2 linked regions of the Alligator mississippiensis genome follow. The protein of the gene in region 1 interacts with the protein of each later gene in a pairwise test. Links are inferred from orthologs where the notes say so. Each region holds a gene or a part of one and is shown on either strand. Other genes may lie near its edges.

Region 1 (14,909 bases):
GGTAAGTGATGAGCAGGAAGAGGAGTGATAACTTGAGTCAAAAATAAGCAGCAGCGTAGGGTTTGAAGTGAAGCTGAAAAGTTGTGAGGCCATTCTAGCCAACCAATGAGTTCCGCAATATTCAATGTTTTTCTTAAAAGCCTGGGACTTGGAGTCATGTCATTAAATGAAAATCTCAGCTCTTATTTTCAATAAATTAGTTTCTTGCCTTCCTGGTTACAGTCTCAGATGTAAGTGTGAACCCCAAAGCTTCAGAAACCACAAGGCAAACCAAAAGAACCCCCCAGTTCATTGTTTTAAAATTGAATACATTTGACCCCCCAAATCATAATTTTTTTAAAAATATGTGGGGTTAGCAACACCGTATTACTCTTACAAACTCTGCTTGCAAGCCAAGCTGTTCATGATACTAAAATGGGGAACTGTTGTAGTCTACTCTGTATGTATTCAAAATATAATTACAGGGGTTTTGCTGAGCTCCTTGGGTTTGTTTCCTTTTTGGTGCATGACACACCACAAAATATGTATGTGTTAGGACCTCAAAACCCAGGGTCCTATTATGATGTGAGAATCTCAGGTTTCATTTAAAAAAAAAATATGTTTCTAGCCCTACTCCTCATTGCAAGGAAAATTTGAAACATGACCCAAGTGTAACTGATGCAGCGAGATCTGCCTGAGTCTACAAACAGACCCTGGCAGAGGGAGGAGCAACTGAAATTACAGCCAGCCTAGTCCAATATCCAACATCACAGCAAATTCTGCCCACTCCTGCCCTGCGTTTCAGGAGGGGCAGATTAGGTAGGCGGGGAACTGAATGCCTCACTGGCTTCTGTAGGACTGATTTTCACTTAGTGAAACTTATTCCCTCAGAATCCATTTTTTCCTTTTGGTTTCTTGGCTTCATAGGGCAGTTTGGGCAAAAAAGTACCTAAATGCCATCAGATAGAGTATCAAAACAAAATGACATTCATTTGAATATGTGATCCTTCCTTTCCTTGTTTACATGGTTTATTGGCAGGGAACAATTTATAACAGTGATGTTTAACTCAGATACCCCCTGAGTATCATCAGTGGGTAAACTGAGTATATAGTTTAACACTTCACAGGAATGAAGAGGAATGGCAGTGACAGCACTGATTTTTTTTTTAAGGCTTGCTGTCAACAAAGGCTGATAGCACTAGAGCTTGTTAGAAAGTTTTCAGCTATGCAAAGTTTCATGGGAAACTCTCTGTTTTTTTAATCCAAAATATTTTGCTCAGAATGCCCCCGGTTTGATGACCCTGTACTTTTTGAGGGAACCCAGCTTCAATTCTTTCCTGGGCTCCTTGGGGCTGGGGTCTGTGGGAAACGCAAGTGCCACAACCAGGGGTGGATCAGGAGGTGGGGGGGGGGGGGCACTGGTGCACTTGAACCCCGCTTTGATTCCTGTTCCACCCAAATTTTAAAACAAAGTGCCTGGCAGTGACAGTAGCAATTCTAGTAAGTCAATGCTGAGGAAGTCAATTGACGTCAAGAGTCATTATCATCTACCTGATCCCTTCGAAACTCTTTATTTCACAGGTGTTAAGGATCAACTCTTCTTTTTAATGGTCTTGATGTTCCATCAGTCAAGCCACCCTTTATCTGGCTATTCTGCCACCTGTTAGCTGCTCCTGGTCAGGGCTTTTGATATGTCATTCTGTGATCTAGGGCAAAGCCCACCAGGTAGAGCTATAAGCTACCATTGGTGATGGGGGCCACTAAGAGCATCTGCTCCTCATCAGGAAGCTCCTATTTCACCGTTTTAACTCCTTTCAATTAAGTTTTATTTGTTTTTCTTTCAGTTTTTAACTAAGTCACATAGCCCTGGGCCCCTGGCATAGTTGTAAAGCTTCTAGTCTCTATTTTACTGGAGAAAACCATATATGTTATATACAATGGTGTAGCTCACCATCTACTCCCACCCCCTTTCTCAAAATCCTGGATCCTCTCATAGCCACACCCCAGGGCAGACAGGCCTGGGTGCAGGGGCTGGCTGGGAGCCCTTAGCAGGTGAAATGGCTACAGCTGCTTAGCTTCATGGTGGCCAGTAGTAGTGGTCCACATCACAACTTTCTCTGTTTCAGTGAGTGTTTCATAGAAGCGTAGAGAAGTCAGGCTGGAAGGGATGTCTAGAGGTCATCTAGTCCAATGGCCTTCCTGAGGCAGGATCATCCCTATCCAAACCATCTGGTACAAATCCATCATCTAAATGCTCCATAAGACTATAGTCAACCCTGACCCAACACAGACCTAACCCCCTAACCTGCCAGAGGTAAAGCAGGAAACAATGAGCAGAGTGCACTTGCCAGAGCCTGCTACCTGCTGGATGAGTCGAGGGAGTCAGTGGACACTGACAAGTGAAACCCTGCCCAGAGACATGAGTGGAGGAGCAACAGGCCTATTTGAAGTGCCACAAGGTCATGGGCTTTGCCCATTATGGAAAGCTATAAGCCTTCTTTAATAAGGGAGGTCACCAGGGGCCCATCAACTGAATACTTGGGACAAATAATAAGAAAACAGGAATGGGAGTGAGACCACAGGTTAATGACAAGGGATCCAGAAGTGGACACTGAGCAGAGTACACCAGCCAGCACCCACTGCCCCCTAAATGAGTCGGGGGAGCCTGTGGATGCTGGCTAGTGAAACTCTGCCCAGAGACCTGAGTGGAGGAGTGACAGGACTTTTAATATGTCAGGGGAAATATGGGCCCAGGTGCCCTTCAAGGAAACTGTAAGCCCCCTTTTGTACTAAGGGCCACTAATGATGTGTTACAGGTTACTTGGGACAAGTAATAATGAAAACAGGGAGAGGAGTGGAGGTCAAAGGTTCATAATAAGAGTGCCAAGGGAAGACACCAAGCAGAGTACACCAGGCAGTGCCCACTGCCCCTTGAATGTGTCAAGGGAGCCTGTGGATGCCCAGAGATGTGAGCAGAGGAGTGACAGGAAGACAGCTGTACACCTTCCTGGGGTCCCCCAGGCTACAGCCTTCATCCTTGTCTTGTAGATGGCCAGCCTGGCCAGAACCAGGCCTACTTGATGTGTGCTGATGTCATGGGCCTCAGCCCAACATGAAATATATAATCTCCCTGTGACAGAGCAGTAAACCCACCCTGTGCCAAAATCCCAGATGAGAAAAGAGAAACTTACCAGGACGAGCCCTGGTGGGGAGAAGAGGTGCAGCAAACCTGGGCGGGAGAAACGCCACAAAGGAGAACAGGAGGGTAATTAGCCAGATCCGCTGAGAGAGATGGGGAAGCAGTGAATCGGGTGCTGCCACAGCAGACCCAGCTGATCAGCGCAGGAAATTTAAGGGACACGGACAAGGCAGTCAGCATCGATCCAGAAGAGGAGGGCACAAAGAGGACCCTGAAGGAACGTGGGGAGATGCCGCCAGTGAGCGATCGACCCTGGGGTCAGGAAGGAGTCTTGGCAATTTACTTACCTGCAGAGACAAGATGACAAGGCAGCTGCAGTGTCCCAGCCAGTGAGTCAGATACCGGTGGGTGTGGGCAGCCATTCTAGGGACCTGGAAAAGAGATGAGACAGAGACGTGTGTTGGTGTGAGTCAGGGACGGTGTCCCCAGGTGGCACGGCCCTGAAGGATAAGGGCTGGAGTGAACTGCAGCGAAACTGGCTTGGGACTCGTGTGGGGAAGAGTGGGGCAAGTGACCAGGAGTGAGGCATGAGACTCCAGGAGTCTGATCAAGATAACCTGTGAGTTGAAGCCCCCATAGACGAGAACTGATGAGTAAATGCATAACATCTGGTGTGGAGAGGGCAAGGTATGGGGATGGTGGAGCCCTGGGAAGAGGAGCCAACCTCCTGAGTCACAGAGTTAACATTCATATTGTCTCATAGGACTGTGTCTATTTTTAGATCCTTCCTTTTTCCATCAAAGTTGTGGCAGACGAGTTCAAGGAGGATATCCGGTCTGACATGAGAGACTACAGCTCAACTTCAGGATGGCACAGCTGATCCTTCCACACCCCTCTTAAGAAGAGAGGCCCCTGGGGACCTAGCAACTAATTGCTTGGGACAACAATAAAGAAAACAGGAACAGGAGTGAGGTTATAGGTTAAGAACTAGGGCATTGTAAGTGAGCACTGAACAGAGCACATTAGTCAGCACCCACTGCCCTCTGAAAGAGTTGAGGGAGACTGTGGACGCCGACCAGTGAAACTCTGTCCAGAGACGGGAGCACAGGAATGCCAGGAAAGCAACCCCACACTGTCCTGGCTTCCTCCTGGTCAGAGCTTCCCTTCTGGTCTTGTAGATGGCCAGCTTGGCCAGAGCCAGGAAGAGAGGAGGTCCCTGGGGCTGCCTGAGGCAGGAATCATCCCTGTGCAAACCCTCTTATACAAATCCATCACTTAAATGTTACATGAGACTACCTTGACAAAGCTCAGACCTAACCACTTCATAACCTGCCACAAGAAAAGCAGGGCAGCCAACATGTCATGCTTCTATCAGTCATGGACTTGCAGAGAAGTGGGACTGGAAGGGACCTGCACAGGTCATCTAGTCCATCCCCCTGCCTGAGACAGGTTCACCCCCACCCAAACCATCCCCTTGCAGCCCACAGGGCCCAGAGCTTGCTGTGTACCAGCCAGTGGCGATGCGTAGGGGGTGCATATGCACCCGCTGAGAGTGCTGGTGCACCCCCTGACTGGCCACACTCACCCCTTAGGCAACGGGCAAGGGAGGGGGCACCCCTGTGAGTGTCAGCCTTGTGATTGGTGGGGGGATCCCCCGCATTGGTGAGATTGGCTGCAGGGGGATGCCCCCCAGTCACTGGCTGGTCGCTGGGGGGCATGTGGCCCACCACCCGACTAAGGTGGTAGCAGTTGCCCATGGTACCAGCCATTCCCAGCAGGAGCCTTGCTGTTCCAGGACTCGTGGGAGCTCATCCCACAGTTCCCAGCAGGGTCATCAAGTCTTAATATGATTGGAAGCTCAAAATTATTGTATTTGCTGAAAAGCATGTTGTACACAGAAAAAATAAGCAAATAAACATACAAACAAGTCTTATTCTTATTTATTTTATATTGCTCTCTATAACTCTTCAGTGAGTGAGTAAGAACTGGGTCATCAAAGTTGAAGTATTTCTTTATTTTCGAGGCAAGCAGTCATAAGAAAGTGCTGGCAATTTGGCTCTGATCAATCATGGCGGCATGTGAACCCGGGCTTGGGTTGGCACGTAGGATACCTGCCAATAGATTTGGGAGTATCTGAAGTCCCAGGGTGAGATTCTGGGACGAAGGATGCTCACCAGTTGTAGCACCATGTATAGTGTTTAGAATGACTGAGGTCTGCCAGCTCAATCCATAGGGCTTTTGGAATGACTTGAGTTCTGCTCAGTCAATATGATTTGGAACTGATTTGGCTGATTTGACCTAGAACACAAAATATATTATTATTACTATTATTCATAATAGTAACAAGAATTAATAATAACAACAACAATAATAATAATAATTTCAGTTAAGACTCCATCAGGGTGACTTGGGTGTTGTATATGCTGGATTAATTAGCTACCTCAAAAACCATTGTACATTTTGGGGATATAGGTTGTAGCCGTATTGGTCTAAAGGCAAAAGCACTCAGAACTCTTGCAGTAGAGGTGATATTTCTTATTAGACCAACTAGATAATTGGAAAAAATGTCTTTATTTGCAAGCTTTAGGGCTTATGTGCCTTTCATGGTTTTATACTTTCGTAGTTGTTAGGAGCTGGAAGGAACCTTAGAGATCCTGGTTTTCTCTGATTAAAAAAAATCCCCAATTTCTGAATTAAATAGAGTAACCCAAATTCCCCATTTTCCTGGGATTGTGGTTTTCTCCGATTAAAAAAATCCCCAATTTTTGGATTAAAAAAAGGAATGCAAAAATCCACATTTTTCTGTGACCAAAATAAAACACCATTTTATCTCTCTCTCTCTATGTATCTCCATGTTTGCATGGTCAAAATGAAACGTCACTAATACCTTTGTAATACATAATAGTGTTGTGAAAGAGTGAGTTCTGCCTGCTCCATCCATAGGTTTTTTGGGGCGGCAGTGTTCTGCTCTATCAATGTGATATAATTTTTATATCACATTGATTGAGCGGAACACTGTCGTCGTAGCAGAACACTAGTATGTATTATGTATGTCATAGCAGAACACTATTATGTATTACAAAGATATTAGTGACGTTTCATTTTGACCATGCAAACGTGGATTCTGGGTTACGTTTTTTGCTCCAAAGGCAATCGGGACTCACGGTAGAGGCGATACCTTTTATTAGACTAACTAGATTTTAAATTGGGGATTTTTTTATTTTATTTTTTTTAATCAGAGAGAACCAGGATCCCTGTTCCCCAGGCAAAGGCGAATGCAAAGATTGTTTCAGGGATGCATTTGGTCGCGGTGTTGCTCTGAGACCCGAGGAAATGCAAACATATAGAACTCTTGGTTGGGAGAGGATCCCTGTTAAGGGACCGGCTCCTCAGCTGGTCTGATACAAGGTATCCTTTCCGAACCAGGAGTCCTAGATTGTCGCCACGCAAAAATGCTAACATTTCTCCCAGGTCGGAAGGAAACTTCCCGCGGCAGGAGAAAAGTGGAGGGTGGGGCGCACATTAGAAACACTGTTACTATTCCTCATCGCACCAGGGTGGAAATGACCACGCAACTGGAGCATGATCGTGCACCTGAGCAAGCTGGCGCCTAGCCAGGCCCGGCTTTTGATGTTGTGGGAAGCGCAGGGGGCGTGCAGGCCCGGGCGGCGAGGCGCGGCTGCGCACGGAGGAAGGGGAGGCCCGAGCTTGGCACGGGGCGGAGGAGCGGCCAGGCCCGGCCCAGCCCTGCCCAGCCCAGGCGGGCCCGGCGGCGGCGGCGCTGCTGGGGCGCGGGGCGGAGCCGACGGCGCATTCCTGGGCCCGGGCCGCGCCGAGGCAAGCGGCGGCGGCGGCGGTAGCAGCCGGGCCTGCCAGCGCCCCGGGCCCGCCCCAGCAGCGCCTGCCCCTCCCCGCCCAGCCCAGCCCAGCTCTGCTGCGAGCCGCCGCCGCGGCCGCGGGCCCCAGCACGCCGGGGCCATGACGGTGGAGCAGAACGTGCTGCAGCAGAGCGGCGGCGCCAAGGTACCGCGCGCGGCCTGGCGGCGGGCGGGCGGGCGGGCACGGGCTGGGCCGGGGCGGGGCGGGGGCATCGCGGCTCCTTCCCGCCGCTCTGCGGCTCTGCGTGTGCGGGACTGCACGTGCGTGCATGCCTGTGCCTGTGTGCGTCTCTGCACGTCTGTGTGCGTGTGTACCTCTGTGCGTGTCCACTTCTGCGCATGGGGGGGCTGTGCGTGTGTGCACCTCTGCGTGTGCGTGTGTGTGTGTGTGTGTGGGGGGGGGGGGGGTGTCTGCATGTTTCTGTCTCCATGTGTGTCTGTCAGCGTGCACATGTCTCCGTGTGTCTGTGTGCGCACACGTGTCTGCCTGTCTCTGTGTGCGTGTGTGCATGTGTGTAGGGAGGGGCAGGTTGTAGCCATTCACCTACTGTAAACACTCCTCCACCCCCCAGTCCAGGTCCCTACAAGCAGCTTCTTGTTTCCTTTTCCTGAAGAAGAAACCTGTTTCCTTTTTCCTAAAGGAGAAGCCTCCGGATGTTGTGATGGTGGCAGGGTGGGGGGAGGGCACTGGCATTCCTGGAGAGGGTGTGTGTATGCATACGTGTGCATGTGTGCAAGCTCATGCCCCTTGCTGCAGAGCTGTTGGACATGGGTATCAAGGCCCTCAAGCTGGGCTGAGGCAGGACAACTGGTGAATGTAAACAGGTCTTGCTTCAGCAGTGACTGAGGCCCCAGGTGTCAGGCCCGCTGAGCCTCGCTGTCACAGCAGTGACTTCTGTGTCCCCCACACCCTCCGTGGAAATGGAGCTAGAATGAAGCCCTGCTGGCTGGCCAGCTGTGTTGGTTGTGAGGGGAAGCCCTCCATGGCCTGGTGAGACAGCAGTTGCCTGTGCGGTGGCTGGCATCACTGACGGGTCAGTCTCTCTCGCACCTTAAATGGGACACACGGCTGGAAAGCAAAGTCTGGCTGCTGCCTTTTGATTTGGAGGTAGTTGCATTTTGGTGGTGGTGTATATAGGCAGGGCGTGGTCCTGACACTCGTCAGAAAGCCCAACTAACTCAAGGGGGCAAGTAGCCAGTGTGAAAACAAACCGCTACAATAACACTTACGTACATAGGGGTGGAAGCTCATACCAGTACCTTATGAAGCACCTGGTTTTCTTGTGAGTGGAAAGGGACTACATAAACAATTCATAGGAGGAAAGAGGCCACCGAAATATAAAACAAAAGAAAGGCCTGTGCCTGCCTGTGTCCTCGGACCAACACGCCTACAACTGTGAAATAAAAGAAACAAACTCAACTCTTTGCAGTTCCTGTCAGGCCTAATTTAGGTAGGTATTGAGAAGCAGAAGTTATTCGGAGGAGGTGATACTTACAGAAGAGTACCTATGAATTGATCTGGCTGAAATGGAAAGTTGTGTACTTAGGGATTTTTTCCCCAGGCAGCATTAAAATTGGACTTGAGCAACTGGAAACAGTATAGAACCATTTAGCTCTGTGATTGATTTCACACTTGGGGCAGTAACTGTCGAAAACTGCTATTCTCTTGCTGTTACTTCACTAACATGAAATGAGTTGGTGACAGACATACAGCTCCTGTTGGGTAGCAAAGATAACGTAGCTATGTACCTTATTACATGAAGACGGCTATGCTAGCGTAAGTGTGCCCATACTGAGGGCTCTTGAACCTACCTTAACTGTGCCATTATCTTTAAAGTGGTACAACATCCTATTTTAGACAAGTTTCTAGAGAGAGGAAGGTGTCTACCTCTAAAAATTGTTGTTGCACTTTGGTAGGCATTTCCAGGGGCGAGGCTAAGGCTGCATAGACACTAGCTAAATTTGTCTTCTGGTACTTGTGCTGGTCAATACTGATTTAAAGTGAGATGTGCTAATAGGCTATTGTTGTGAACTTTTGCTGGCAGCTTCTGTGTTGTACCTTGTCTGTGAAAGAGCAGGGAGTTTTAGTTTCTACTGCTGCAAATGGCTAAAGGGAGGGTAGGGTGGCAGCTTACGGACTGACTACTGCAAATCTGACATGGTTTGTGAGCAGTAAATTCAGTTACAAATATTGTTTTTAATGAGGTGCTCTTAAACAGCCCTCTTCATTCTTGTATTGGAGGCCTGATTACAGGTACTTGTAATAGTGTACAGGCATTTGTAATATTTGCTGGTTGGGCTGAATTTATTATATTTCCATCAGTTGTCTAACAAATAATAAAATATTATGGCTGTCAGCTAAATGATTGTATTTGCTGATCAGTGTTCCAAGATTGCTTTTTTTGTTTCTCTTTGGAAGTTAAACTTGGGCTGCGGGCAAGAGATTAGTTCTTAAATTTCATCTTGTGTCCTAGACTGCAAAAACTAAATGAATTGGCGAAAAATCTACATCTGAAATCTCTTCTTGGAGGAGGAGGATGAACTGCTGTACTGAAGCATCTAATAGTCCATTTTTGCAAGCTAGGGAACAAACACACAACGAAAAAAATGACATTCCCTGGCTTTGAAGAGTTTGTACCTTTTTTGCATTGTATCATCTGAGAAAAAAATATTAACTTCAGCAGGGGAAATGGGATTTGGGCAATGGGATTAAAAAAACAAATGATCATATATATAAATAAATAAATAAACACATTGTCCTCAAGCCAAAAGTGATTAAAAGAATCTTACCCTAAAATTACTTTTTTCCTCTTTTCAGTTGTGGCCGTCTGTAACATCAGCCCCTCCCTCTCATTATACCATACTTTCTGCAACCTACTTTCTTTTCAAAATGTCTGTGAAAAAACAATCTAGAATACACCTTGCAAATTTTGACTGTTAAAAGAAATGACAGCTTCTAGACTCAGTAAGTGCAATGAAGAATTGACAGAGTGACAACTGAAAATAAGCCAAGAGATATTTTGGAAAATACATTAGGAAATGATGTAAAAGAATAAATTGGATTAATGCCTTGTCTGAGATGAAAGTTTAAAAAATGTTTCTGTTGTTTTTGTAGAACTGGAGTTAAAGATGATTTGTATTTTGCTTGTTTAGGAGTATGGTGTTTCTTGGTTTTTGTATTTCGGGCACATTTCCAAAGTATGTTGTGGCTGTTCGTCGTTAGTGTGAAGAAACCACATGTATGATAAAAATGTATTGAGTTTCCAAGAGATGACTATTAGTCAGCAGAATACTCTTACAACTGTGGTACTTGGTATCTGATTCATCAGGAGGTCTTGTTTTCTGTTACTCGGAGAGCATTTTGGATTTTTGTAGTACTTGAACCCAGGTTTATTTTGGTACAGTGCTCTAAATGTAGGGGGAGATGGGACTTATTTAGTTACTTGTTTTCTCAGACTAATAATGTCCTCCTTGCTTAATCACCAAAATCTGTATCTGTGCAAAGTTCAATTTTTACTTTCCTCATGCTTACAGATCATTTTGAGTTGATTTACTTCTAAATTTGGATTTTCTTCCCTGAATGAAACTTGGATTGTGCTGTCAGTCTTTTTGCTGCATCCACTTTTTCACATGTGATTCTGTGACGTTATTCAATAATTTTAGGGGGGGGGGTGTGATCTGTGATGCCTATGTTCCAATATAGTCATTGGAATAAAAATTGAAATCTTTTCTTGCCCTGTGATTCTAATATTTGATTCTATATACTTTTGGCTCCTTTGTGGCTTTGTCATCCACTTTTTTTCTTTCATTAAAATGTTTTTGATCAGGCTTCTTGTTGAACATTTAAGGAATATTTATTGCTTGGCTGTGTACTCCACATGGTCCTGAATTGCTGCCATGGGGCTGTTTAATTTGGCAAGCTTGTCTTCATGTTTTCTTTTCATAGGGGCACAGTTGTAGTCTGTCACTCTCCATGTGGAGAGCCCCTAGCTTGTCTCAAGGTTAATGTCCTTTAAACCTTGCCTCTAGTAGGAAAATTGAAATGCACACGATACTCAAATGCTGATGGTGATTACCAGCAGCAGCGGTGTACACGGGTCATATGTGCCTTACCCATTGTATCATTTAACTCCACTGATATGCAAGCTATTCCTAATCGTGATAGTGATCTCTGAACACCTGTCCAAGAAGAAATTACTTTAAATCACCAATCCATTTCACTCTGGCCCTAGACCAGCCTACCATAAAGATTTCGAGTTGATTACCCTACTTTGTATGTGAATTGGAGAAAGGCTGGATGAAGTTTGATGTGTAGGGTTAAAAAGCCTTTGTTCTGTCTGTACTACAGTTGTGAGAGGCAGGGATTTTTTTGGGTGATATCTATTATTTTATCAACTGTAGTAGAGTTAGACAAGCTTTTGAATACAAGACATTCATCGCAGTGGGATAAAGTTGGAAGTGGAAACTCGGTTCAACTCAGCTCTTCTTCCGAAAATACAGGGCACAGTCTTACAAATTCTTATTTCCTCTATTAAGGGCACCCAGCATTGATTACATAGATGATATATTGCTTTTTTGCTATGATAAAGACTACTTGTGTGGGTTTGGGGTTTTTGTTTGTTTGATTGGATTTTCCTTTGGAAGATGTTGAAGGGAAAGGCCACAAGCTGAAATGTACGTTTTCCCTAAATGCCCCTTCCATATATTTAATTTGTGGATTGTTGGTCATTTGACTCCTCACGTGGCTTCCTCTCCTTGTTGCCAGCTGCTAAATTGCAGTAATATGTAATGTGTATATGTTAAGTAACTCTCTTTTTTAGTTTTCTATCTAAACAATCATATTGGCCAGAAGAGTGTTATGAATAAAGGGAAAGGCAGTGGTCTTTGTCACAAAGTGGAAAGAAGATGGCCCTGGAAGTTATGTCTTTGTAATGTGGGTAGTGTATGAAAGAGCCCAATTGAACTTCTTAAGTTTTTGTGATGAAGTTTGACAGTCACTGAAACGGTAGCAATTGTGCATGTGATTTAGAGCTCTTAGTACTGTGCCTATATATGTTTTTGCCAGGTTCACTGCAAAGGCATGTTTGAAGGAGTGCCAGCTTTTGAGACGGGGTTCAAATTATTCTTATAATTGAGAATGGGGTATATAAATCCATGTTATATGTAACTACTGCTTCTATTCAGGCTAACCTGAATATTTAATAAATACTACATAATCAAGCAGATGTCAGTTTTATTTAAAAATTTGGTTAATATAAAAGCTTCATTTACTAGCTGACCAAATGATTCTGAATTATGATGATAATGATATTATTTTATCAGTCTTCTACCTTTGTGGAAATGGAATTTACATTAATAAAATTAGTGAACCACGGTATGAAATTACAATGAAATGTTTTTTTTAAAGTCCAAACTAAATCTTGTTGGAGTTTATGGAAAAGTATGCCATGTTTGTTTTGTAGTAACATCCAGGAGTTACAATCAGAGTACTGGGCTCTGTCACACCATACAAACGCTTAAAAAAATATCAGTCCCTGTTTTGAAGTGCTTCTTTGAATGGCATTTGGATCAATTCTCAAAAGATCAACTCCACTTCAAAATATGTGATTATAAAAGGCATCTAATTTATACGTTTTTTAAAATCTTCATGTTCTGAAATGAGTTGTCTCCATTTTCCTTTTTTTTTTTTTTTTTAAACAAAATCAGCATCTCTGGGCTAAGTCCATTTTTATGGCTATGATGAAAAATATTTATATGTCAGTAAAAAAAAAAAGAACAACTTGATATTTAAATGTTAAAGAGGTATATTGTAAATAAACAAAATAGTTCCCTGGATTATATCCCTAAATATCTTACATCATAAAACATGACCTGCAGATTTGTGTGGGAGGACAATTTGGCATGTCCTGTTTTGCACACTTGAGGCCAGATCCTAATCTACCTTAAAAATGTTGAAATGTCAATAACAGCTTTTAGTCACTTGAAACTAAATATGATTCTAACTGCCAATGATCCTTGCCACTGAAAGGATGTGCAGTTTCTTTACTTGTTTTCATTTTATACCATTGCATGCAGACAGAAGCGCTCCACTAAGACCTCTGTTGCAATCCTAATCCATTTTGGAAAGTGTATACTATATTCTACATATTGCATGTTCTTAAATAAGATGAGCTCCTTATTTTGGGAAGCCAGAAAGTGAAAAATAGATTTTTCCAAAAATTTTAAGTGTCCCAGCATGTGATCTCTGTGGCTGAATGATGGGTTTACCATAGTTTAATGCTCCGGTCACTCACCCTCTAGATGCAGCACAGGAGCTTCAGGTTTAGCTGTATCACAGCCACTGCCAAATTGGTAGCTCAGCCAAAAGTAACTGCTAGTTTGGCAGCGACTGTAACAGGTTTAAACCTGAAGTTCTGGTGCGGCAGTGAGAAGGTGAGGAGTGTCTCTGTGAAGCACAGAGTCCAGCATAAACCTGCCATTCCTGCGGGCATCCCCATACTTCTGTTCTAGCATGGAAATCAGATTCCTCACTTAAACACCAACTCTAATTTTGGTAGGTTAATTTTTTGGGGGGGAAAGGTGCATGTGTTATGGGAATAAATATGGCAAGTCCTGAATTTTTAGTTTGGAGGAGAATCAAGATTAATGAGGAGGTTAACCAGTAACCTGGTGGTTAGGGAATTTGCCAAGGAAGTAGGAAATTTGGATTGTTAGGTTGTTCTTCGTCTGAGGGAGTTTGAACATCCCACTTCCCAGCAAAGTGCTCTAACCATCATGGTTTAAGTAAGGATGAGAATACCCTTCACTTTCCTGTTGAAGTGCAGCCACTGGATGACCAAAATGGGAAAAATCAGGGGTAGGCAATCCCTGGCACATGTGCCAGAGTATAGTACAGCAAAAGCATTTTGCTTGATATGTGCACCTCAGGTGACGGGCTGTGCTGCCACAACAAGGATTTGGCCCTTCATGGCTCCCCTGGCACGCCAGCATCTTACAAACTGATGTTGTGGGTGTTTTTGGCACTCTGTCCAAAAACACTGATGACCCCCTGGGATAAGTCATGGGGCTAGGAAGGACAGCAAGCAAGAAGGGTGACTGGCAAAGCCAGGATAATACTGCTCTGGAGTGGAGGGAACTCTAATGAGCCCTGTTCCCATTGCTATTCCAGTGTTTTGTACAGAAAGGTCATTGGGTAAAATGCATAAACAGCACTAGGAGCAGAACACATTTGGCTGTTATCTGTTTTGTGCTGGGAGAGCTGTCCCCTAGGAAGAATGGGAGCTTTTAAATACCCTTTTAGGCTGTTACCTGCCTTTTTGCTTGCATAAAAAGGTTGGCACGAGTTAAACAGTTCAGTTACGGTACACAAGAAACATGCTTTGAAACATTCAGTGGGTCAGCCAGCCAAACCAGGGAAAAAACACGCTTCATATTGTTTACATTTCTTGGGTACTGGTTTCACTGTGACCAGTAAGAAATGGGCAGGGGTTGGCTTTCTACTCTGAGAAACAAAAGTAGACCAGTGAGTTTCACTTTCTATCTCTTGGATGCAAACTAGTACAGTTGTGCAATGTTTTTGTTGCCGGGAGTGGGAAGGGGGCATTAGTTCAAACAAAATGTGTTGTTTTTTCCTTTGAGGAAGTACTCTTTAAATAAGTGTTCTGCATTAGAGTGAAAACTAAGCTGCTCTGGTTGTGGCCCTCAGCAATGTGAGGAGGTGGTTCTTAAGAGGAGGGGCCTGTGTTTCTTTCTTTTAGAAATGAGGGTACCCAATATTGCATGGTATCTCTTCATAGCTTTATGCCAGCATCATGAAGTAACATACAGGCTATAAAGAGAGTGGTGGGCTGGTGCCAACATGTTTCAGTGCAAAGGTTACTGAACAACCGTAAATTTGAAAATAATATGAAGGG
Region 2 (15,491 bases), on another chromosome or scaffold:
CCTCAGATCAGGGACTAGATCATTTAAAAGGTATGTCACAGTTTGGATGAAGTGACATATACCCCAGAAGTTACATTCTCTTGGTCTAATAGGTAGATAACTCAATTATCTGACTTGCAAATATAACCCCTCACTTAAACATGCTATTATTTGCTTTACAGACCTCCTTGCAAAATGTACCCCATTAGATTCATGCATGTCTAGTTTGACATACAGTTAAATATTTTCCAAATTTGTAAACTAAACAAATGCTGTAATAGTGTTCATATTAACTCTAAAATGTGTCATAGTTCAACTAATAGGCCTTAGAGGTGGGAAATTAAATTCAAAATTCACACCATCTTGTAAAAATCATTCTTTGAACTAAGAGTATTAAACTGGCTCAACTCAAAATGACAATAACACCAAACCAAATTTTCAAAAGTGGGAGCACTTACTGCATCCTTAAGTTTATGTCTAATGGTAGGGTTGGAGTGGTATTGTAAGAATTATGCCAGAAGCAAGATCTTCTCTCTCAGACTTGAGGACGGGCACTCTGTGCCTAAAAGCTTATCCAACATCTCTCCCAACTATACAATTGGTCCAACAAAACACATTACTTAACTGGTGAGTGGAAATCACACTACTATATTTTATCTTCTAAACATAACTCCCACAACAGATTTTCAGTTTAAATTTGGCGTGACTACATACTCGTACAGTATTGAAAAAATAGCCATTTTAGGCTTTTATTTGCAATTCACCAGTTTAAATTAAGAGCAACACTATCAAAGTCAACTCTAGAGTCATCCTCTTTCTCTGACATACTTTTAAATTCAGAGTAATTCCATTAAGTCAATAAAGCCACTTGATATTTGAAATAATACAACTAAAAGCGAAATTTGACTCCTAGTAATCAACAGTATAGCTATTACACTAAATACCTTAAAGTCTGATTCTTCTCTCACTTTCACCAGTTTAAACTGAAAGCAACCGCACTGCCTTCTACATAGCTAACTGTGGGAAGACTAGAGATATTTCATCTCACTTATTTGATCAACTTAACAGTTAAACAAGGAGTGTTAAAAAGTATAGTCATCTAGGCAGTGGTTCTCTGCTTTTTTAGACTCAAGGCACCCCACAGAAAATGCCAGCTCTTACCTTTTGGATTACAGAAAAATAACGGAACCGTTCTTCCATTTCAAAGAACTCAGAAAGACCATAGTTTCATAGTAGCTAGGGTCAGGAGGGACCTGAACAGATCATCTAGCCTGACCCCCTGCCACAGGCAGGAATGAATGCTGGGTTCGCAAGACCCTAGACAGGTGATCATCCAACCTCCTCTTGAATTTGTCCAAGGTAGGGGAGAGGACCACTTCCCTGGGAAGTTGGTTCCAGATTTTGGCCACCCTAACTGTAAAAATATTGCCTTCTGATCTCTAACCACAACACATCAGAATGTTTTTGAGACTATGGTTTCCTATTTAAAATCTCTGGATTTGTCTTGTAAATCATGTATAGGTGCCTGTACACCTAACAGTGCTTAATAATGAGCGGCACTGCACAGGAGCCTTAAAAGGATCTCATGGCACACAAGGGTGCCACAGCACCTGGTTGAGAATTACATGCAGTAATACTGCCTCCTTAATACTTTTCTTGCAGATCTGGCTATCATCTAACTCACTACATCTTACTACCTTGATGACCTCTTAAGTTCTTATTTCCATCCTCATGTTCTATGCTACTGTTATATAAAAATCTGTGGTTTCTTCCGCTATAACCAGAAGAGCCATCTGACAGACAGTAGCTGGAAAAAACAAAGTAATCTTAATAAAATGTCTCCATCTAAACAGCACTGGCTTTCTAATTTGAGTCTGCAGGAGTAAAGAAACTAAAGCTGAAACGTCAATTTTATATTCAATTAACTTTATAGATACACTTCATGGCACTCAAGTAAATTATTGCTACTGTTATTTTTAGTGCTCACAAAGATGTTTCCTATCATTCTGCTGAAGAGAAGAGGTGAAATGGATTTGTATGTGGACCCATAGGAAGGCAATTTTCCTTGAGAACTTTCCTGGAAGCCCTACATCTATCCAATGCCTTCTTATCCCCAACTAGAGCTGACTGTACCCTTGAAAAGCAGACACTCCCCACAAAGAGAATTAGACTGGTTATCTGTGCAATCACAAACTCAAGAATTCCATTCTTAAACCCCTTAGTATATAGCCCCTCACAGCTTTGCACACAGAGTACAAGAGCTGTGGACTGCTCACATGGTTTCCCTGCATCTTGCCCTTGTTATTCTGCACGCAGGACATTCAGTCTACGTTACCTTGTGCTGGGGAGGTCTAATCCCAGTGTACATGGGCATGATGAAGCGCTATTTAAATAAAAAAAAAAGGAAGTTTCAACAAATTAATGCATTCTAATCGGCACTGGCCATAAATGAAGTGATAATAAAACTATGCTAGAGCAAAGTTGTTCTTTGAAATAGTGGAATACTCGTGGAGTGGTGTAACTATATGCCAAATACGACCATTTGCCCATTGTACAAGACACAATAACTACTGTAGACTGAGCACATCTTTAGAGTCCAAAAGTATCTGCATTATATTTAAGAGTCTAAAATTTACCCTTCCTCCACAAACATATGTGCATTAACAACTAAGTTCGCAGTTCAATATGAGTATCTGTACAGGAAGTTATGACTTATTTTTAACTTTGGACCATGAACATTGAAGAGACCTTGCAGACTTTATATTGTACATTTATTAACAATGTGTTTCAAACGGGAACCTCACTTGCTTTGTGCAATATACACACACACACACACACACACACACACACACACACTTTCAACTTAATTTGCAGAATACATGTTCAATTGTATAATTTATATGAACATGCAATATGTATTTAATTGTATTAATATAGGACATAATGCGAATATGAATAATAATTATACATGATTACATTATAGTTGTTTTTTACAACAACATTTGGATAGATCTATTCAGGCCACCAATGCCTAATGATTTTTTTTGGTCACTGCCAGAGACTAGATTTAGTTTCTACCAGGGGTAAAACTTCAGTTTTAAAAATTGGATGGTCCAAGAGAAGCCATGATGTGTATATTTTTCTTTTCATAGTTTTTTTGGTTAATTTTGTAGTGTCACATGTAAAGCAAATTAACCTTGCTGTTGGGGCTTAAAATACAGATGGGAAACACAGAAGTGAACTATCATTTTTCAATGACAATATACTTTTGCAAGTCTGAACGTATAATGCTAACAAAAGTAGTGTAACTATCTAGTGTGTGCCTCTGGTGTTCTACTATGCATGCAGGGCATAAGGAAAAAGGGACCAATTCTGCAAGGTAATAAGTAATCTTTACTCTTAGCAGTAGTCACTGAGACTTTTCAAATTCAACTTAAATACTGGAAGACAAGTGGGTATTCTGTATAAATTCAGGCTGAGAAACTGAAAAGGAGGTTCTCAATAGTTTAGAAGAATGCATAACTGCAGGCAAATTTTTGTTGTAAAATTTGTTTCCCTTTAATAAAATCATATTTTTTCAAGAGCCAGATTTTGATGTGTGAGAACTCCCACATGAATTGTCCCACTGATTTAAAAAGGGCTACTAACATAAATAGGGGATTGTAGAATCTGGCCTAAATTGAATAAAGACCCAGTAAATCTTGACCTGATAAGAAAGGCATTTAAGACTCAAACTTGAGAAGTGTGGCTGCTTTGGCCCCAAAGTTGCACAGCATTTTAGTGCATAAAGGGTTTCAGTAAAATCCTTCACCATAAAGAGCTGTTCTTTGCCATGTTTCATTAGAGGAGAGAAAAGAAATGGGTCTAAATTTCCATTACTGTTTATTTATATACAAAGGGCCAAAGCTGTCAATTATTGTGGCTTGAATAAGTGAAAGGCAAGGGAGAATTTGAGCTAGACAGTCCACCTGTCCTTTGCAAACCAAATCCTCATGAAATCAATGTTAGTCTTTCCAATGTCTTCAGATTTTGAATCAGGACTTTAAAGCAAATGAAGACAAATGAAATAAAAGTATAACATTTTAGAACATAAATGAAATCCAGTATGTTCCTCCCTGCTGATTGCTTCATACCTCTGCAAAGGTCCTAGTCTCAGTACAGGATATTGTGCGAGTGTTAGGAAAGAAAAGGAAATGTAATCTCCCCTTTAAAAATGAAGAGCATGATCCCTTTGACTTCAACGACAGTTTGGCCACAGACTTTGAAAGCTTGGACCACTTATATAGCAAATCGAAAGAAAAAAAGATGGGATTAAAAACTGTCCATGTAACTCTCGTGTTATTCAATTTACACGTTTAAACTTTTTTCAAGTGAAACTTTACATACCAGTCTTAAAAAAAAAAGTTATTTTGGGACCAGAGTAACTTTTTAAAAACACCTGCTAGCTGTTCCCCAAAATAACTTTCAGTTGGTTTTTCAAGACATTAGATCAAATTTTTAATTCAGCTACATCAACAGAACCACAACGGCTAGAAAATAGAAAGGTAACAGAGAATATCTATTTACCTCTTTGATTTCATGGACATTACTACTATTTTAGGAAAAACAAAGCCTGAAAGGTTTATGAAGTACAATTTGGGATTTTAGAAGTTCTTCCAACTCAGTTCAAAACTGCGGTAGATATTTATTTTAATTAGTTCAGCAATTTTGATAAACCTAAACTGGTTTTAAATCTTTTATTCCAAGTTGTTTTAAATATTCATAAGGCTTCTCTCCAAGCCACTCCCCTCTCCCCCCCGAAGAAAACCGTCAAAATATAAATATACTGATGTCTCAAACTTCCTTATTTCTGTCTTTATCGGTCTCAAGCTCAACAAAGGGCTGAGAAGGAGAAGTTGTTACAGTTCCTGTAAAAGTACCCGCTAAAAGTGCTTTTGGGCTGCAACAGTTTCTGGCCCTTTATTTCAGAGCTTGAGCTGACTATGGGGTCTGCTCTAATGGCCACATCACAAAATCAGGCCCCAAAGGTCCAGAACATACAAGTGTTCTGTGTATGGCTTGTGGGAGAATGCCCAAAATAAAGATTACTAACCCCAATTACAAATGATCATGTAAATGGCTCCTTGAATGAGGGGAAAAATATAATCTTACAAGTGGTAGTTTTTTTCTTTAAAAAAAAATCTACCTATAAGTAGCCTAATTAAGGAATATGACATTGGGCTTGATCTTATTCCCAGTGGAGTCAGTACAAGCTGTGTCTAAGAAGCACTGCTAGGCTGGGCCCAAAAGATGATGTCACCATGCTCAAGTGTCCTGAAATAACATTGCAGGGGTTCGGGTTGTAGCCTTGTTGGTCTAAGGACATAGGCAGACAAGGTTCCTTGGGTGAATTTGATATCTTTTATTAGACCGACCCAAATGGTTGGAGAATAGTTATTAAGCAAGCTTTCGGGTTCAAAAACCCTTCGTCAGGCTAAGGAAGCTGCAGCAGTTGGTGTGTGCTCTTCCTGGTGTCACTCCTTGTTTGATGTCAGCATAAGGCTCTCTATCAAAGGTGTTACCAAAATTTGTTTATATATATATATATATATATATATATATATGTATGTATAGTGATTTAGGCCTCTTGTATCTAATGTGTTTCGTCACCTCTAACACTATTCTAGTCTTTCTTGGAAAAAAATTAAGGAAGTTTGCTAAAAAAAAAGAAAGAAAAAGAAACAAAATGTAACTAATGACCTTTTGTTAGGCTTCAAGGGAGCTAACCGGCACATTGCAATCACCCCTCACCCCTGCAAGCTCTGAACCTTGTTTTGTTTGCAGAGAGGACAGATGCACTCATTTGCTTCCATGCTCATTTCATTGCCCAGAGTTTCAAAACAGCTTTTTAAAGTGTTTTGTTTTCAAACCCATGGGTGCATTTTCTGTTTTTGCGTGTGCCTTCCTAACCTGCATCTCCTTCTCCATGGACTTCATCTCATGTGGTTTTGGCCTGTTCGCTTGTCCCAATGTCACTACTGCGTTCGCTGAATCACCGTACGGTTTTGATTTGGTCGAAGGATCCCTGTGGATTCTCTCCCTATTATTTTCCCAACATTTTTTCCCCTCAAATGTTACCTGAAAAATAATGGGGTGCAAGGCTTGTTGAGAGGGTAGGAAGCCTGAAGCTGGGCAGAAGGCAGACTTGGAGGGTAGGTGACTTGGAGGTGTATCTGTGGCGGAGGGTCAGAATTGGCGGCATCATGGAGGGACTTTGGCAAGTTTGGTGGGCGACAGGCACTGAAATGGTGCCTCCGAAGGGCGCTGAACCCTCTGAGAGGCTTGGGGGAGGGAGAAAGAGAGAGCGGCTGCAATGTTGCCATTGGGGGTCCCTGGTGTGTGGCCAGAGCATGAAAAAAAAATTGTTTTTGCAGCTCTCTAGTTAGTCTAATAAAACATATCACCTCTTTCTCAAGAGTTTTAGATGCCTTTCCCTCTAGACAAGCGACGCACACCTCAGGACATGGGGAGGGCTGGGCAGAGTCCCCTCAAGGAGCCCTGGGCGGGGCGGGGAGCGGCACGAATGAACCGGCCCGGCTGTCTGGAGGAGCCCAGGTCTCCCCCGAGCCGCCGGCATGGGTTTGGGTGCAGCGGGGAGCCCGCCCGGCCCTCCACAATGCTCTGGGGGTTGGCGCTCCCTGCTTCCCCCTGCCCCGCTCTTACCTGGGCGCGGGGCGCGGGAGTGTCCGACGCGGGCTCGGCTGAGGCGGGCGCGGGGCTCGGCGAGGATCCTGCCGCTGCGTCCCGACCCCGCGCTCAGGGCGCCGGGAGCCGCGGCTTCCTAGTTTCGCAGCCGCGGCCACTTCCTCCAGGCGGGCGGCGGCTCGCACACTTCCTCCTGGGCACGGTCCGGCCAGGCCCCGGCCTGCGGAAGGGCGCGGGGCTGCGGCGCCGGGGGTGGCGGCACCCCGGGGTGCTGCCTGCGTCCTGGGCGCGCCGGGAGAAGCGTGCCAGGGACTCGCGCACGGACCTGTGCGCACACAGACGCACACATATGCACAATAACATACCCATATACACACAAACACATGCACATACATACACACAAACACGCACATTGGACACACACATACTTACACACATGCGTACACATACATACACGCATGTACACATACAACCACACACATGCGTACACAGAAACGCATACATACACACATCTACATACACAAACACACATGCATACACAAACACATACAGACACATATACACACGCATGCACATACATACACACATGCATATACATACACACATCTACATATACACTCACACACCGCACATATACACACAGACATACAGGCAGTCCTCGACTTGCAATGTTTCGAGTTACCACGTTTTGCACTGACAACATTTATAAATTGACACCCTGTTTCAATTTTCTGATGTCAGTTTTGACTTTACAATGCTTGATCCAACTCGATGCCACATCAGTGAACCAGTTTGCTGCGTCATCCATCTCCCTGGAGAACATCTGTCCAAACTTCCTTGGACACTTTCTTTAGGAAAGCAGACAAGACTCCAGAAAAACCTGCAGCCAAGACTCCTGAGAAGACTCCAGCCAAGAACCCTTCAAAAAGTCCAGCAAAGTCACCTCAAAGAAGTCCTTCCAAATCAATCTGATTGCTATTTACAATATAAATACATTAATGTAGCTATATCACTCATCTATAATTGATCAAGTACAAAATTTTGGGGTATTTTTAGTGAAAACAGAGTATCAGGCCTTGGCTGAGGAACGAATCCCTGTTTATAATGTTTCCTTTGGGAAAAACGGTTCCGAGTTACAACATTTCGACTTAGGATGCAGTTTTCAGGAACCAATTATGTCGTAAGTCTGAGGACTGCCTGTACACATACATACACACATACACACACAAACATAAATACCCACAGACACATGTACACACACATAAATGCACACACAGACATACATACACACACAGAGACATATACACATAAGCATACACACAGAGGCATACATCCACAAGGACAGCCCAGCCTGAAGAAAGAGAGCATTGGGAACCTGAAAACCATGGGGAGGCCAGCACTACGGCACAGGTAAGAAACGAGAAGGTAAGAATCAAAGGGCCCCTTGGGACTCGGAGCGGGGGGGCAGCAAAGGCACCAGTCGCAGGGCTCAAGTGCCTATATACTAATGCTAGGAGCATGGGAAACAAGCAGGATGAATTAGTGCTCCTGCTTGCACTAAACACCTTGACTTAGTAGGGCTAACAGAAACCTGGTGGGATTCATCCCATGACTGGGCGGTACATATTGAGGGCTATAGATTGTACAGAAAGGACAGGGTGGGGAAGAAAGGGGGAGGGGTTGTGCTCTATGTCAATGAGCAATATACATCGACCCTCATCAAGACAGAATCCGAGGTTGAGGAAGTAGAAGGATTGTGGGTTAGGCTACATGGGGGGCAAGGAGAAAGAGATTTGGTGGTAGGGGTCTGCTACAGACCCCCACATCAAGGGGAAGAAAGAGATTCAGGGCTCCTGAGGCAAATCTCGGAGACCATAAAAGCTAAAGAGGCAGTAGTCATGGGGGACCTAAACTACCCTGACATCTGCTGGGAGTCACAGACAGCAAAGTCCCACCGCTCACGCAGGTTTCTAACCTGTGTATAGGACCTCCACCTGACTCAGGAGGTACATGGTCCCACTAGGGGGAATGCCATACTGGATCTGGTATTGGCAACGGGAGATGACATGATAGCGGACCTCCAGATCGGTAGCCATCTGGGGGACAGTGATCACCTAATAATAGAATTCACCATAAGACGGCGAGTGGGTAAGGTAACTAGTAGGGTGAAAGTGCTAGACTTTAGGAAAGCTGATTTCAATGAACTCAGGCGATTAGTCAAGGACGCACTGCAGAGTAGGAGATTTGAAGAGATGGGAGCCCAAGAAGGGTGGCTGTGCCTTAAGGAAACGATCCTTCGGGCACAAAGCAAGACGATCCCCGAGCGAGGCAAAAGAGGGAAAGGGGCCAGGAGGCTTCCCTGGCTGACCAGAGAAATCCAGGGCAGCCTAAGGGACAAAAGGGGAGCACATAAAAAGTGGAAACAGGGAGAGATCACCAAAGACGAATATACCTCCTCTGCTTGCGCTTGTAGGGAGGCAGTTAGACGGGCCAAAGCTACCATGGAGCTGAGGATGGCATCCCAAGTAAAAGACAACAAGAAATTGTTTTTTAGATATATAGGTAGTAAAAGGAAGGCCCAGGGAGGAATAGGACCCCTGCTAAATGGGCAGAAACAATTGGTGACGGACAGGGGGGACAAAGCTGAACTCCTCAGCGAGTTCTTTGCCTCAGTGTTCCTAAGTGAGGGGCACGACAAGTCTCTCACTGGGGTTGTAGAGAGGCAACAGCAAGGCGCCAGACTTCCATGCGTAGACCCTGAAATGGTACAGAGTCATTTGGAAGAACTGGATGCCTTTAAGTCAGCAGGCCCGGATGAGCTCCATCCAAGGGTGCTGAAGGCACTGGCCGACATCATTGCAGAGCCACTGGCGGGAATATTTGAAAGCTCGTGGCGCACGGGCCAAGTCCCGCAGGACTGGAAAAGGGCCAACGTGGTCCCCATTTTCAAAAAGGGGAGGAAGGAGGACCCGGGCAACTATAGACCTGTCAGTCTCACCTCCATCCTTGGCAAAGTCTTTGAAAAAATTATCAAGGCTCACATTTGTGAGAGCCCGGCAGGACAAATTATGCTGAGGGGAAATCAGCATGGGTTCGTGGCAGGCAGATCATGCCTGACCAATCTAGTTTCTTTTTATGACCAGGTTACGAAACGCCTGGACACAGGAGGAGCGGTGGATGTCGTATACTTAGACTTCAGGAAGGCCTTCGATACGGTATCCCACCCCATACTGGTGAACAAGTTAAGAGGCTGTGACTTGGATGACTACACAGTCGGGTGGGTGGCGAATTGGCTGGAGGGTCGCACCCAGAGAGTCGTGGTGGATGGGTCGGTTTCGACCTGGAAGGGTGTGGGCAGTGGGATCCCGCAGGGCTCGGTCCTTGGACTGATACTCTTTAATGTCTTCATCAGTGACTTGGATGAGGGAGTGAAATGTACTCTGTCCAAGTTTGCAGATGACACAAAGCTATGGGGAGATGTGGGAACAGCTGCAAGCAGATCTGGACAGGTTGGACAAGTGGGCAGAAAACAACAGAATGCAGTTCAACAAGGAGAAATGCAAAGTGCTGCACATAGGGAGGAAGAATGTCCAGCACACCTACAGCCTAGGGAATGACCTCCTGAGTAGCACGGAAGTGGAAAGGGATCTTGGAGTCCTAGTGGACTCCAAGATGAACATGAGTCGGCAGTGTGACAAAGCCATCAGAAAAGCCAATGGCACTTTATCGTGCATCAGCAGATGCATGACGAATAGGTCCAAGGAGGTGATACTTCCCCTCTATCGGGCGCTGGTCAGACCGCAGTTGGAGTACTGCGTGCAATTCTGGGAGCCGCAATTCAAGAGGGATGCGGATAACCTGGAGAGGGTCCAGAGAAGGGCCACTCATATGGTTAAGGGCCTGCAGACCAAGCCCTACGAGGAGAGACTAGAGAAACTGGATCCTTTCAGCCTCCGCAAGAGAAGGTTGAGAGGCGACCTTGTGGCTGCCTGTAAGTTCATCACGGGGGCACAGAAGGGAATTAGTGAGTATTTATTCACCAAGGCACCCCCGGGGGTTACAAGAAATAATGGCCACAAGCTAGCAGAGAGCAGATTTAGATTGCACATTAGGAAGAACTTCTTCACAGTTAGAGTGGGCAGGGAGGAATGGGCTCCCAAGGGAGGTGGTGCTCTCCCCTACCCTGGGGGTCTTCAAGAGGAGGTTAGATGAGCATCTAGCTGAGGTCATCTAGACCCAACACTCTTTCCTGCTTATGCAGGGGGTCGGACTCGATGATCTATTGAGGTCCCTTCCGACCCTAACATCTATGAATCTATGAATCTATGAATCCACACAAACACACATACAAATGTAAACGTGCACACAAAATACAGACGAGGTTCTATGGGTAAATCCAATATCTTTTATTAGACCAACTAAAATGGTTGGAAAAAAATCTTCTTTGCAAGCTTTCATGTACAAACACCCTTCCATCAGGCTGAGGAAACTACCCTTAGACCAACACGGCTATAACCCATACCCCTGAAGCACACAAAATACACACACAGACACACATACATATACACAAACATACACACACACATATGCAAACATAAACACACACAGACATGTACACATACGCAGAAAAACACACACAGACAGATACATAAACACATAAACATACACACACAGACTCACGCAGAACAGATGGATCCAGGATTTAGAAAAGGGTGGGTGGTGCAGATGATGTGGCACGTCATCCCAAAGAGCACAACACACATTTTTCTCCGGTTAAAGAGAAATGCAAAGCTTTACCGACATGCTAGGCTAGTGCTTAGTTATTCAGTTTAAGATCAAAGCAAAAATTAAAATAAAGATAAGTATTGGAACGTGCACTGAATTGCTAGATTATATTTAAAGTTGAATAAATACAGAAAGCATACAAGGCAAAACATAGTCAAAATAGAGTGGCATTAGTCCTGCAGCCATTACACTTAAGTGTACATCTCTCACTTAGATTCATAAAACAAATGCTAGCTTTCTTGAAAGTCTTGACTGTGCCTTCAATACTTCAGCCAGGCGTGTCTACCCTGAAGTTAATATTGCCACCTGAGTTAAAATTTTTAGGCAGAGTTAACAACAGTCTGCAGGACTATGAAACAGAAGAGAGACATTCCCAGGGATGGCTAACAGACATGCAAACTGCAGAAGGGTAGATTGAATGGTGGAACATCAAGACCACTAAAAAGCATAGAGGAGGAAGAACCCGGGAGATGATAAGGAGCCATGATGTCAACTGATTCACTTAGCACTGTTTGAAAAAAAAGTTTCCATAACAGAGGGTCTAACACTCAATATGAGAAGTGCTCTTACACAACAAAAAGTTCGGTTTTAGGGTCATAGGAAAGTAGGACTGGAAAGGAGCTCATGGGGTCATCTAGTCCAGCCCTCTGCTCAAGGCAGGATCACCCCTGACTAAACCATTCCAGCCACGTGTCTATCTAACCCCTGCTTTTGAAAGTTTCCAAGTATGGAGAATCCACAACTTCACTTAGGCTGCCTATTCCAAAGCCTGACCACTCATAGAAAGTTCCTCCTAATATCCAGTTTAAACTTGCCCTGATGCAGCTTGAGGCCGTTGCTCCTAGTGCTGTCCCCTACAGCCACAGAGAAAAGCCCACCTCTATCCTCTGTATAGTCACCCTTCCAGTATTTGAAGATTCTTATCAACTTCCCCCTCAAGTGCTCTTTTTCTGAGCTAAATAACCCTAGTACTTTAACCCTTTTCTCATAAATTTTGCATCCCAGGCTCCTAATAATTTTTGTTGCCCGCACTGGACTCTTTCCAAACTGTTCACATCTTTCTTGAAGGTGCAGCCCCAAGCTGGACACTGTACTCCACGTGAGGCCTCACCAGTGCTGAATACAGTGGAACAATCACTTCCCTTGATTTGCAAGCAACACTCCTCTTAATACAACCCAGGATGCAAATTGCCATTTTTGAATATGAGCACACTTAGCTCATATTCAGATTACGGTCCACCATAACCTCCAGGTCCTTCTTTGCAGTACTGTAACCAAGCCAGTCATTCCTCAGCCTGTAGTTGTGCATGTGGTTATTTTGGAGCCATGTAGTGACTCAGGATGTGATGGCTAATACATTTCAACATGATATATTGTGAAAATATATATATTCATGCAGCCTTATTGTCTGTGTCATAGAAACATTAAGAAACTCAAGTCAGGGACTTGATTGTGCTAGGCACTGCAAACACAGAATACAGAGCTGGCTGTTGTCCCAAAGACTATACAATTGTTATCACCATTTTACATATGGGGATCTGAGATAGAGATTAAATTACCCACACGAATTGGAAGCTCCTAGGGAATTTGAAAGGTTTTTAGCCCAGCCTTTAATCTTTTCTTGCCTACTGAAGTTGCACCAAGATACTCACTGACTGAAAACTCTTGCCTTTCAGCAGATGGAACAAGATCTTATTTTCTATGGGACACTAATTATTTCCTTTTTTTAAAATCACAAATTGGGAGAATAATCTCACAAATAGAGCCCTAAAAGTTCTAAATGTCACTATTTCCTAACTATACTGAAAAGGATTTTTATTTAAGCAGGTTCTCTTTCAGATCTCAGTCCAGTCCTTTTCACTGATGTTGCGATCTTCTGACAATTTCTATATTGTAGGTCTATTTCAATTGGCGTTGCCTACACTGTGAAAAAAAAAAGCTAAGAAATCAATTTTGGGTGACTTGTTCCCTCTTTCACCTCCCCCTGTGAATAGAGCATGTGATCAGAATGCCCTCTGAAAACCATTACCAAGACCTAGCTCTGTATTGAATGTTTATATTTTTAACAGATGTCTCGCTGAAATCAATGAAAAATCAGTACTGTATCATGGACTATGCATGAGCAATGTAAGAGAAATCAAGTAAAGGAATCATCAAGTTCATGTTAGTATTTACAGGTCTGATTTTAAAATATTTATGATTAGCCTTTCACATAAAATTAAATGCAACTGTGATGTGTTCCTCAAACTCAAATATGCTAAGTTTTTTGGGTAGCAGGGGCAGGAAGGAAGTCTTCAAATTTGCTAACTAGCAGTCTTCCTACTATGTATAATTGTACTCTATGCAATGGGGGCAAGTCTTAGCACATTCAAATCTTTTTGAAGATTTTTATGGGGAGAATGTAGCTAGCAAAATCAGAAGCAGTATGAGTCATGCTCCTGGAAGGATTTGGTAGCTTTTTAAATTCTGCAACCTTTAAGGTAATCAAATGTGAAGATGCAAAGAGGAAGCCAGTATTTTGCCAACAGCCTATGACTGAACATGCCAGATAAAATAACACTAATCACCCTTGTGTTTCTTATTACATTTTATCTGCACTTGAGGAAGTTTCAAAATCACTGGTGCTTGCAATCTGATCCAGTAAGGCCCTAGCACTCAGCAGTCCAGCTACAGCACTATGCCATGCATCTGTATTACAGCCTTCCTGGAAAGGTTCCTGGTTTGAAGGCACTTCACAGTATTCTTGCTAAGTGTTCACTCCATCTTTAACCATAAAGATCATGTGAGCATATTTTGCTTCATTCTCTACTTATGGGAACCAAACCCCTGCAAATCTGGCCAAGAATCTGGATCTACTTGGTGTGAAGGACTTACCTCCAATATTCAGCAAGACACCTAAAAGAGGAAAAGTGCCACTATCCTCATTCATTCTATCCCCCACTTGCTGCCATTTGCCTTGAGTAGAGTTTCTTTTGGTCTCCCCATTTTCCTGGTGTTTTTTTTATTTCTGCTGGAGCCACAAATTGAGCTTCCATTTCTCCCTCCTGTCTACTCAGAATCTGTTCTTGCATATGGCTTCATAGATTTAATAGATTTCATAGACATTAGGGCTGGAAGGGACCTCAGAAAATCATTGAGTCCAGTCCCCTGCCCCTGGGGCAGGAAGTCAGCTAGGGTCAAAGGATCCCAGCAAGATAAGTATCCAAACATTTCTTGAAAGAGTCCAGAGTAGGTGCTTGTACCACCTCTGGAGGAAGTCTATTCCAGGCCTTGGGGGCTTGGACAGTAAAGAAGTTTTTCCTTATGTCCAGCCTAAAATGGTCTTGGAGAAGTTTGTGACCGCTGAACCTTGTCATCCCTTGGGGCGCTCTGGTGAACAGATGTTCCTCCAGATCCTGATGCACACCCCTTATATACTTCCTTTAGGTTCTTCTCTAAATGTATAGGTTTCCTATATACAGTAAAAGGTCTGTTATCCGGCATCCCTAGGGAATGCACAGCCTGTTATACCCCTGGGCCATGGGGGCTCTGCAGTGCAGGCTGCTTAGCCTTGGGGGCTCGTAGAAACTGGATGTGCCATGGTGAGTACTTCCGGTTTCACTTTATCTTACAAGCTGGCATGCTGGTTAATTGAGCATGCTGGCTTGTAAGATGCCAGTTAACAGAACTTTTACTGTATATGTATAGCTTTACTATGTAAACCTAATACATAAATAAATACATACATAAATAAAGGGCTGCTCCTCATTCTTTCTCCACTGAAACACTATCTAGCAATTACAACCTATAGCAGGGGTGGGCAATTATTTGGGCTGAAGGACCACTGAGGGAGTTCTTGGTGAGCTGTGGCAGCCTGGGTCAACACTCCACCCCCACCCCACCCCACCATGCCAGGTCGGGTCAGCGCCCACCACCCTACAGCAGCTCACCGAAACTCTCTAAGGGGCTCTGATCCAGACCCCAGGGCCCAGCACCATGCTATCACTACCCAGTGATCCTGGGGTCTCTATGGAGACTAGCCCAGGACCCACATGGGCAGGGCA

The links.
Region 2: the proteins of USP25 (region 1) and SYK interact in binary tests that used the Homo sapiens proteins (3 or more experiments, as listed by UniProt). The link is inferred for Alligator mississippiensis from reciprocal best matches to the Homo sapiens genes USP25 and SYK.

Annotation. Positions count from the first base shown.
Region 1 is NC_081824.1:279,360,675-279,375,583, forward strand, and holds the start of USP25 (ubiquitin carboxyl-terminal hydrolase 25), read left to right. Parts: upstream 1-6,921; 5' UTR 6,922-7,096; coding exon 7,097-7,141; intron 7,142-14,909. UniProt on the Homo sapiens protein: Deubiquitinating enzyme that hydrolyzes ubiquitin moieties conjugated to substrates and thus, functions in various biological processes including inflammation and immune response.
Region 2 is NC_081826.1:212,108,239-212,123,729, reverse strand, and holds the start of SYK (tyrosine-protein kinase SYK), read right to left. Parts: upstream 6,846-15,491; 5' UTR 6,682-6,845; intron 2,363-6,681; 5' UTR 2,315-2,362; intron 1-2,314. UniProt on the Homo sapiens protein: Non-receptor tyrosine kinase which mediates signal transduction downstream of a variety of transmembrane receptors including classical immunoreceptors like the B-cell receptor (BCR).